Macaca mulatta: one gene and its partner. The protein of the gene in region 2 purifies or fractionates together with the protein of the main gene of each other region. This does not show direct contact. Links are inferred from orthologs where the notes say so. Each region holds a gene or a part of one and is shown on either strand. Other genes may lie near its edges.

Region 1 (3,648 bases), on a different chromosome or scaffold from region 2:
CTGTCTCTAAAAAATAAAAATAAAAAAAATAGCCAGGTGTGATGGCACATGCCTGGTCACAGCTACTTGCGAGGCTGAGGGAGGAGTATTGCTTGAGCCTAGGAGGTGGGGTCGAGGCTACAGTGAGCCATGATCACACCACTGCACTCCAGCCTGGGTGACAGAGCTAGATCCTGTCTCAAAATAAAAAAACACAACAACAACAACAACAAAACCTCAACAAAGACAAAAATATAGTGAGACAAACATTCATGAACAGAGACACAATTGTTTTGGAAAGTAATGCAGCAACAGTTATCACCAAGAGCCCTAAGAAGTTCACAACCTTTGAACTAGTAATTCCACTTCACAATGGGTGACAGCTAGGTGGATGGGCAGATGAGTGGACAGACACACCAGGGTGCAGATGGAGAGAAGAATGGATGAGAGACCAGATGTACAGAGGCCGTCATGGGAGCAAGACAGCAGAGCCCATGAAGTAACTGCAGGAATACAGGGCATGAACCCCATCAAACACAGCCACCGCCCACAGTCCCCCACACTGGACCTGACCTCTGAGCTCTCTGGGGCCACACTTCCTAGTCCCTCTTCTCAGGGTCCTACTGAGGACAACTGCACCATCTGACTCCCCTACCCCTTCCATGGACACTCCCAGGGAGCAGCTTGTGCCTTCCAGCTCTGTGGTCAGGTTACCTTTGTTCCCAGCTCTTGACTTGTGTAGCTGGGAGCCTCTTGGGTTTGAATGTCCATTTCGGCAAGAAGCCTCTGTCCCTGGCCGATCTGTTTGAGCAGGGCCTCATAGTCCTCAATCAGGCCCAGGACGTGGCGGCCGTTCTTGCTGGCCCACAGGCGGTGGCCAGCGACCAGGCGGGACACACACGGAGTGCTAGTTGCCGAGCTGCCACTGTCACAGGAGAGGGAGTCCGTGTCATTCTCAGAGAGTGGAAGAGTCTCTGAAACTGTAAAATGAGAGGTAGGATGTAAAATCTGTTTCAGGTAACACTCTGCGTTCAAGGCGCTTATGATGTTGAAGCTAGCTAGGAGGGCTAGGAGAGGCCCTCGTGCCCAAATGCCACCCAACACAAGCCCAGTGGGGAAAAGACGCATGGCTCCTGGACCTCTATCTATTACCCCACACTGGCTTACGAGTCATCTTGTAGGATAGGCTCAAGTCAACTCAACCAACACTTTTCAACCACCCACTCAGCAGAAGACCCCAGATTCACAAGGATAACTCAAGCTGGTGCCTGCATTCCAGTAGCCCACAGTCTGATCAGAACACAGACACTGCGGAAGGTGCAACAGCAGAGTGATGAAGGGCCAGAGCCAGGAAAAACAATTATCTGTGCAGGGAGGGAGAGAACAGGGAAGGCTTCTGAGAAGGAGCAGCATTTGAGCTGGACTGAGCAAGAAGCAAGAATTACACTAATGATGAGTCATTCTGACCAGGGACAGCAGCAAAGCCATGTCACAGAAAAATGTGCATTCATGATGAGTCTTGAGGAAATGGGACTTTTACTGGCAAAGAGTGGGACAAAGGGGGTCTAAAAGTCACAGTGAGAGGAAAGTGTGGGCCTGTCTGCAGGATGGTGACCCCTGTGTGGCTACACCAGGGTAAGGGATAAGGCTGGACGGGCCCACTGGAGCTGGATCCTGGGCGGCCTTGAAAGCCTCACAAAGATGGTCACAATTTTAATCTAAGGCAACAGGGACCCAATGATGTTCTAAGCTTGGTAACACCTAGGAGTAGATTAACTGGCTTGAAGGAGGATATCACCAGCTGGAGATGCTGAGAACTTGAAATCCCAAATCCTTGCCAAATACCCTCCTGAGGTGGGACTAGGGACCCCCTTTTCTGCAATTTAAAAAGTCTTACTGTCACATCCAATGCTGCCACCGTTACCCAGACTTCAGCTTTGTACCTGATTTTGGTGTCACTGCCTGGGAGGAATCAAACAGATCAAATGAATTATCACTTTCCATGGGATCTTTGTCACCATCTACAAAATGCAAAACACGAGAACTGTTAGTTTCACTGCTGTCAGCATTCAAGAGAGAACTGAATGAGAATACAGTCAAGCCCCTCACATTCACTAATTCATACACACACAAGCATTCCTTCAAATCTTCACTAGGCCTCTGTCCTGCCAGGCCCACCTGTGTGGGACACCAGGGAGACAGAGTGACCAGGCCCAATCCGTTCCCTAGAAAAACTCTTAGCAGAAAAGTAAACAAGCAATTTTATTTTAGTGTTAATGAAAACACAGGCTGTTGAGGCTCAGGTGAGGGCACTACCCCCAACTTGGCTTCCCAAAGGCTAACACCTGTTTTAAAACCTTATGTGTTTTGTTTGTTTGTTTGTTTGTTTGTTTGTTTTTTGATGGAGTCTTGCTCTGTCACCCAGGCTGGAGTGCAGTGGCACAATCTCGGCTCACTGCAAGCTCCGCCTCCCAGGTTCATGCCATTCTCCTGCCTCAGCCTCCCGAGTAGCTGGGACTACAGGCGCCCGCCACCACGCCCGGCTATTTTTTGTATTTTTAGTAGAGATGGGGTTTCACCATTTTAAGACTGACTGTGACTGACCTGTGGTAAGAAGGAGGGAAAGAAATGCCAGGCAGCACAATGGGCAGGTGAGAGGCAGACAGTGGGACGAAGAGTGGAATCATCACTCAGGGAGAAATAAGCAGTTCATAGACCCAAGGCCCAGGGGGCAGGGAAGGACAAAGTAGGATGCAAGGCCAGAACCAAGAGGACTGAGGGGCCCACTCAAGGGCTTTGGGCAACGCAATGTCAAGCTGAGGTCTGTATTTTGTACTGGAGGAGTTTTTTTTCTGTCTGGAGGCTGCCACACTAATCTAAGCCAGAGATGAGAGTAACCCACAATAGGATCTGGGGGGTGATGTATTTGCAACACTGTAAGGAGGCAAAATCAATAGATGATGTACAGATGATCTGTGCAACACGTAATAATTTGGAAAGCACTTTCACATATGAAAAGCTATTGGACTCAATAGCTCAGTGGGCAGAACACATTGTAATTCAGATTTCATGGAAGGGGAAACCAAGTGGCAGAGATAGAAAGTGATCTGTCCAGCATAACCCAGCACGTCAGTGGCAGAGAGCAAGCGAGCCCAGGGTTTAGGATCCCCCCATCAGAGCTCCTGCACCACTGGGCAGTGGGCTGCTGCACTCCAGCACCACCCAAGGGTCTGCTACAGTTCCTAAGGCCAAGGAGCCAGGAGGTCAGCTCCATAGAGCTGGCCCTGAGAGGAATCACTCTCAGCGAAAGACATCAGCCTTTAGAACATAATTTTAAAAACAGATGCACTTAAATACAGACCTGAGAAGTCTTTTGCAAAGGAAGAAATGCTGCTGCCTACAATTCTGATCTTGACTCAAGAAAATTAGAAAACTTTTCTGCTGAGGCAACACCGTGAATTCTGAATGCTCTCCTGGATGCCTCTTGCCACACATGCTGAGGGCTGCTTTCGGCAAATTTCAAAGGCAAAGGCTGTTTGATGGCCTCCTCGCTTCAGCTACCCAACGCTCCTTCCTGGGCACCCCAAGCACAGAACTCTTCTCCTTGCTTCAATCTCCCCTAGCCCACCCCCACAAGCTCCTCAAAGCCTTAAAAAGGGCCAGGTGCAG
Region 2 (4,351 bases):
GATACCAGGAATATGGAATTCACATTAAGAGAATTCTAGATTACTGTTATTAAATTACAACCATGCTAGTAAAGTAACACTTATTAATGACTCAGTAATCATTCTGCTCATTCATTAAGCAAATACATATAACTACTATTTGAAAGGCATTATATTACGGTGCATTAATATCAATAGTAAGAGCCTTATTAGTAATTCTATAAAATGAGATCGTAGCATTTAAAACACTTTAACAAAATCTGGAAAAATATCCCCCAAATCCCACTGCAGCTCATCCCTCTTTGTACTTATCACCCAGAGTCTGTCTCTCCCACTAAACAGTGAGCAACTTGAGAGCAGACACTGTCACCACCTCTAGGTATAAAATGGGGGTTCAATATAGGTTTGCTGAATGACATTATAATCCAGAGTTTTTCAGTTCTAATCTGAAAGCACACGTTTATACAAATGAAATAATGTATACGTTATTTTTGATAATGCCCTTTCCACACTATTTTTCATATTCCTAGCAATCTTCATAATCTTAATGGCTTTAAAATATTCCATCATGTTTATATAACTTAGAAAATGATTCTCTTCATGTTGTCTTTAAAAGTTATTTCCAGGGTTTTTTTGTTTGTTTGTTTGTTTGTTTTTTGAAACAGGATCTCATTCTGTTGCCCAGGCTGAAGTGCAGCGGCATGATGATGGCTCCCTGCAGCCTCGAACTCCTGGGCTCAAGTGATCCTCCCACCTTAGACTTCCGAGTAGCTGGGAATACATACAGGCGCACACCACCATGCCCAGCTATTTTTTTTTTTTTTAATTTTTTGTGGAGTCTATGTTGCCCAGGTTGGTCTTGAACTCCTGGGGTCAAGCGATCCTCTCGCCCCAGGCTCCCAATGTCAGCATTTTTACATTGTATAGTTAATGTTGCAGCAAACATACCTTGCCTTACAAGTCTCATAGATTTCTATCTTACTGGAAAAAGGACTAAATTCTAAAAGAAGGTAATCTTTTACAACAAAAATTCATCTTAAACATGTTGGTTTTTACCCCATACGCAGAATTTTGAAAGACAAAGAAACACACAAAGAAACTAGAATTGTATTTTGCCAAATCAACTACAACTGCAAGCAATTTAAATAAATCCTCTATTATGAAATGTGTATGTCCAAAGTAAACCATGTTTTGTAGGACTGCTTCACATATATTTAGGAAAGATATTTCTGGGGGCAGGCAATAAAAATTCTGAGGTAACAGACAAATAAGATATCTAATTAGATCTTCAGTGCTTTTGGAGGGGGCACACACTTCATCTCCACTACTTCCTTAGATGCACAGAGCTTGCTCAGCCCCTCAGACTGCACAAGTGTAAGCGCTTGGGCTTCTAAAGGTACCCTGATTACCCTTTCCCACCATTTATAGATCCGAAAGTAAAAATTTACCTGGCTATATACAAGCATTTAAATCTTGACCTTAAATAGAGGGATCCTATAGGAAAGTCAACTATATTTTAGAAATATGAAGCTAGTTTTTACATTTATATTCATTTAACAAACTTGTGTTGAGCTTCTATCACTGCATCTCTGCGGTATGGCCCTTCATTGCTAATAAATCACCAACCTGGGTTCCTTTGTTTATGTGCGGAGAAGAGAAAAGAAAGGAAGATAGGAAAAACAGTTACCTGTAATACAATTTTTTGTCCAAGTATGACTGCTAACAATTATCTCTAAAAAGAATATAATCTATAAAAGAAGACTTCATTGAAGGGAGGAAGGGGGCTTTTGAGCCCAGACAAAATATACGCTCAAATATGTAATTTTTAAAAGAAATATGCTACGCAGCTTATATTTTGTATATGTTAAATTTCTCATGAAGCCCAATGAACGATGCCTCTGTATAATTGTGTATTGTATTGTTTGCTTTACAGGCTTTTCCATACACGTACACACACATATACACACACACGCACACGCATAATCAGGATTCGCCAGAGAGATATATAACAACTAAATTACTTAAAGCAGGAATTCTATAGGTGTTACTAGGCATATGGAACCTTTCGGTCCCCAGAAGTTCCATTCACAGACTGCAATAACATTCCATACGACACAAAAGCGCATGCCATGACAAAGACCTTCAAGTACAAACATACAAAGACACGCTTCTAAAAACGCCCCTAAAGCCAAGTTCACAGCTGGCACTTGTGGCACACACAAGCCACTGCTGAGACAGCTGTCACAGGCCAATCACACACACCCAAGAGTGCCAGCGTGCCACCTAAGGAAGACAAGCCGATGATCAGCGCACAAATCCCCAACCCAATAAAGAAAAGCCCTAAATCCCCACCCTGGAAAACACAATGCCTGCACCACCCAGAAAACTCCTTAAAAAATGAAAGGTCGGAGGTTTAGAAGCAACTAAACACTAGTTTACAGCAATACAGTAAAAGGGGAGTTTTATTTGGACATTCACGAGAAAGAAGGCACAACATTCAATCCTCACGGAAGTATTATCAGCTAGCTAGCAGCACAAGGCTTTGTCCCCCAACTGGAAAAAGGGGAAAGGAGGAGGGCGAGGAGAGATGCAGACCCTGCAGCACCTCCCTCTCCGGCAGTGCACTGAGGCTGCAGCGAACTCAGCTTCCCAGACCCCCTCCCACCCATTGCTAGCCATCGCCTCCCACTGCAGGCCCAGTTGCCTCGGGCTCTCCTACCTTGGCTTTGCCGGCTTCCAGCTTCTTCTGTCTCTCCTCGTCCTCCATGGCCTCTGCAAGGAAGGCAGGGGAAAACAGGGGTTGAGGGGTGGTCGGAGAAAGGTCGGTTTCGACGGAGGTGGGACAGCAAGCTCCGCTGCCCAGAGAGCCGAGCCAGGCCGGCGCTCCCCCGCCCGAAGTGGAAACAGTCTCGGCGCTCACTGGCTGATCGCCCTCAGCCGCACGGGAAGCGCCGTCACCGCCGCCGCCGCCGCCATCTTCGTCTCCACGTAAACACACGGCGAGGCGGGAGGGGCTGGAACGTCTGTCCGCGCAGCCGCCTCGCGGGCAGGTGCGTCTGGGGTCCCGCCCCGGCCCAGCCCTCCGGGGTCAACCCCCGCCAGGCCTGGGACCGGCCTCCGACCCGCGAGGATCCCGCCGTAGGGAGCGCCCTTCCCGCACATCAATGGCTCGCAGGTGGCGGCCGAGCTGAGGGGTAGAAGGGACGGAATGTGCCAGAGGCTCCTGGCCGGACCCCCACCCTCCGAGGAATCCAGTGCTATTAAAACATGAGTTTTTTGTTTTTTCCTTCAAGTTACAAAAATAACACACCTAATGGTGAAATTGGCGAACACCTAAAAGCTCCAATGGAAAAGTTCCAGGGGTGGAGGGTGGTGGGGGGGCGGACGCCAGTTTTTCTACCTACGTTAACTCCTCGACTCAAGGAATTATGAGAGGAGCTAATTGCTCTTGTTACTTCCTTAGCCTGAAAAGTCCCTCCCTCTTCCCTCCACTGGTTCCCACTCAATCTCCGGTTCATCCTTCTAGTCCTATCGCACACGCTGCCTCCAAATGGCTTTTCTGACCTCCTGTTCCCTCCACGGCAACCGAGACACATCCAGTCAAAACGTACTCCCCTCCCCCGACTCCTTCGGGCTTCCCTTTAACAGTAGCGTTCTGAAAGGAGCTTGAGCTTCAGAACCTAGGTTAGGGACAATGCCAGACTACACCAACTTTCTAGCTTTAATGACAAGTTTCCTATTCTCCCTGAGCCTACCTGGAATTTTTGGAAGGGTTGTTAATATATGTAACTGCCCTGGCATATTAAAACGTTCTTAATGTCAGCTTTATTTCTCCTTGGACTTCCTTTATGTACCCTATTAAAATAGGGTACCCTGCACCATATTTTAATAATTTGTGTGCGTCTTAGTTCAGCTCATACTCCCAGGTCCTTGATGACAGAGAATCATCATGAGTCTTGCTCATCTTGGTTTTACTAAAATGACCAGCACAGAGCTCTGCACTCAATAAACGCTTTTTGGATTGAATTGAGCAGTGTTTATAAATTTAGCATTACTATCTTTCCTTGTTTCCCCTACATGTGCTCCCTCGATCCTTTGTATTCTTCTCCCTACCCTCCAACGCTCAAATCCATTCCTGGAGTGAACTACACATTTCAATGTCTCTGGTTGATTACTCAGGTTTCATATTTATGTGCGGAGAAGAGAAAAGAAAGGAAGAGAGGAAAAACAGTTACCTGTAATACAATTTTTTGTCCAAGCATGATTGCTGACAATTATCTCTAAAAGAATATGTATATAAAAGGAGAGACTAAAGACCTAAAGTCTGACTACAAACTGAGGATGAGTTTTAAATAGCCCTCGTTTAGAAATC

Evidence for each region. The genes of interacting proteins can lie anywhere in the genome.
Region 1: the proteins of AKAP9 (region 2) and CDK5RAP2 purify together in Homo sapiens (affinity purification with western blotting; 4 studies listed by BioGRID and IntAct, with this or other methods). This does not show direct contact. The link is inferred for Macaca mulatta from reciprocal best matches to the Homo sapiens genes AKAP9 and CDK5RAP2.

The regions. Positions count from the first base shown.
Region 1 is NC_133420.1:37,798,715-37,802,362, reverse strand, and holds part of CDK5RAP2 (CDK5 regulatory subunit-associated protein 2), read right to left. Parts: intron 2,001-3,648; coding exon 1,923-2,000; intron 960-1,922; coding exon 694-959; intron 1-693. UniProt on the Homo sapiens protein: Potential regulator of CDK5 activity via its interaction with CDK5R1. Negative regulator of centriole disengagement (licensing) which maintains centriole engagement and cohesion. Involved in regulation of mitotic spindle orientation.
Region 2 is NC_133408.1:127,434,016-127,438,366, forward strand, and holds the start of AKAP9 (A-kinase anchor protein 9), read right to left. Parts: upstream 2,901-4,351; 5' UTR 2,747-2,900; coding exon 2,699-2,746; intron 1-2,698. UniProt on the Homo sapiens protein: Scaffolding protein that assembles several protein kinases and phosphatases on the centrosome and Golgi apparatus. Required to maintain the integrity of the Golgi apparatus. Required for microtubule nucleation at the cis-side of the Golgi apparatus.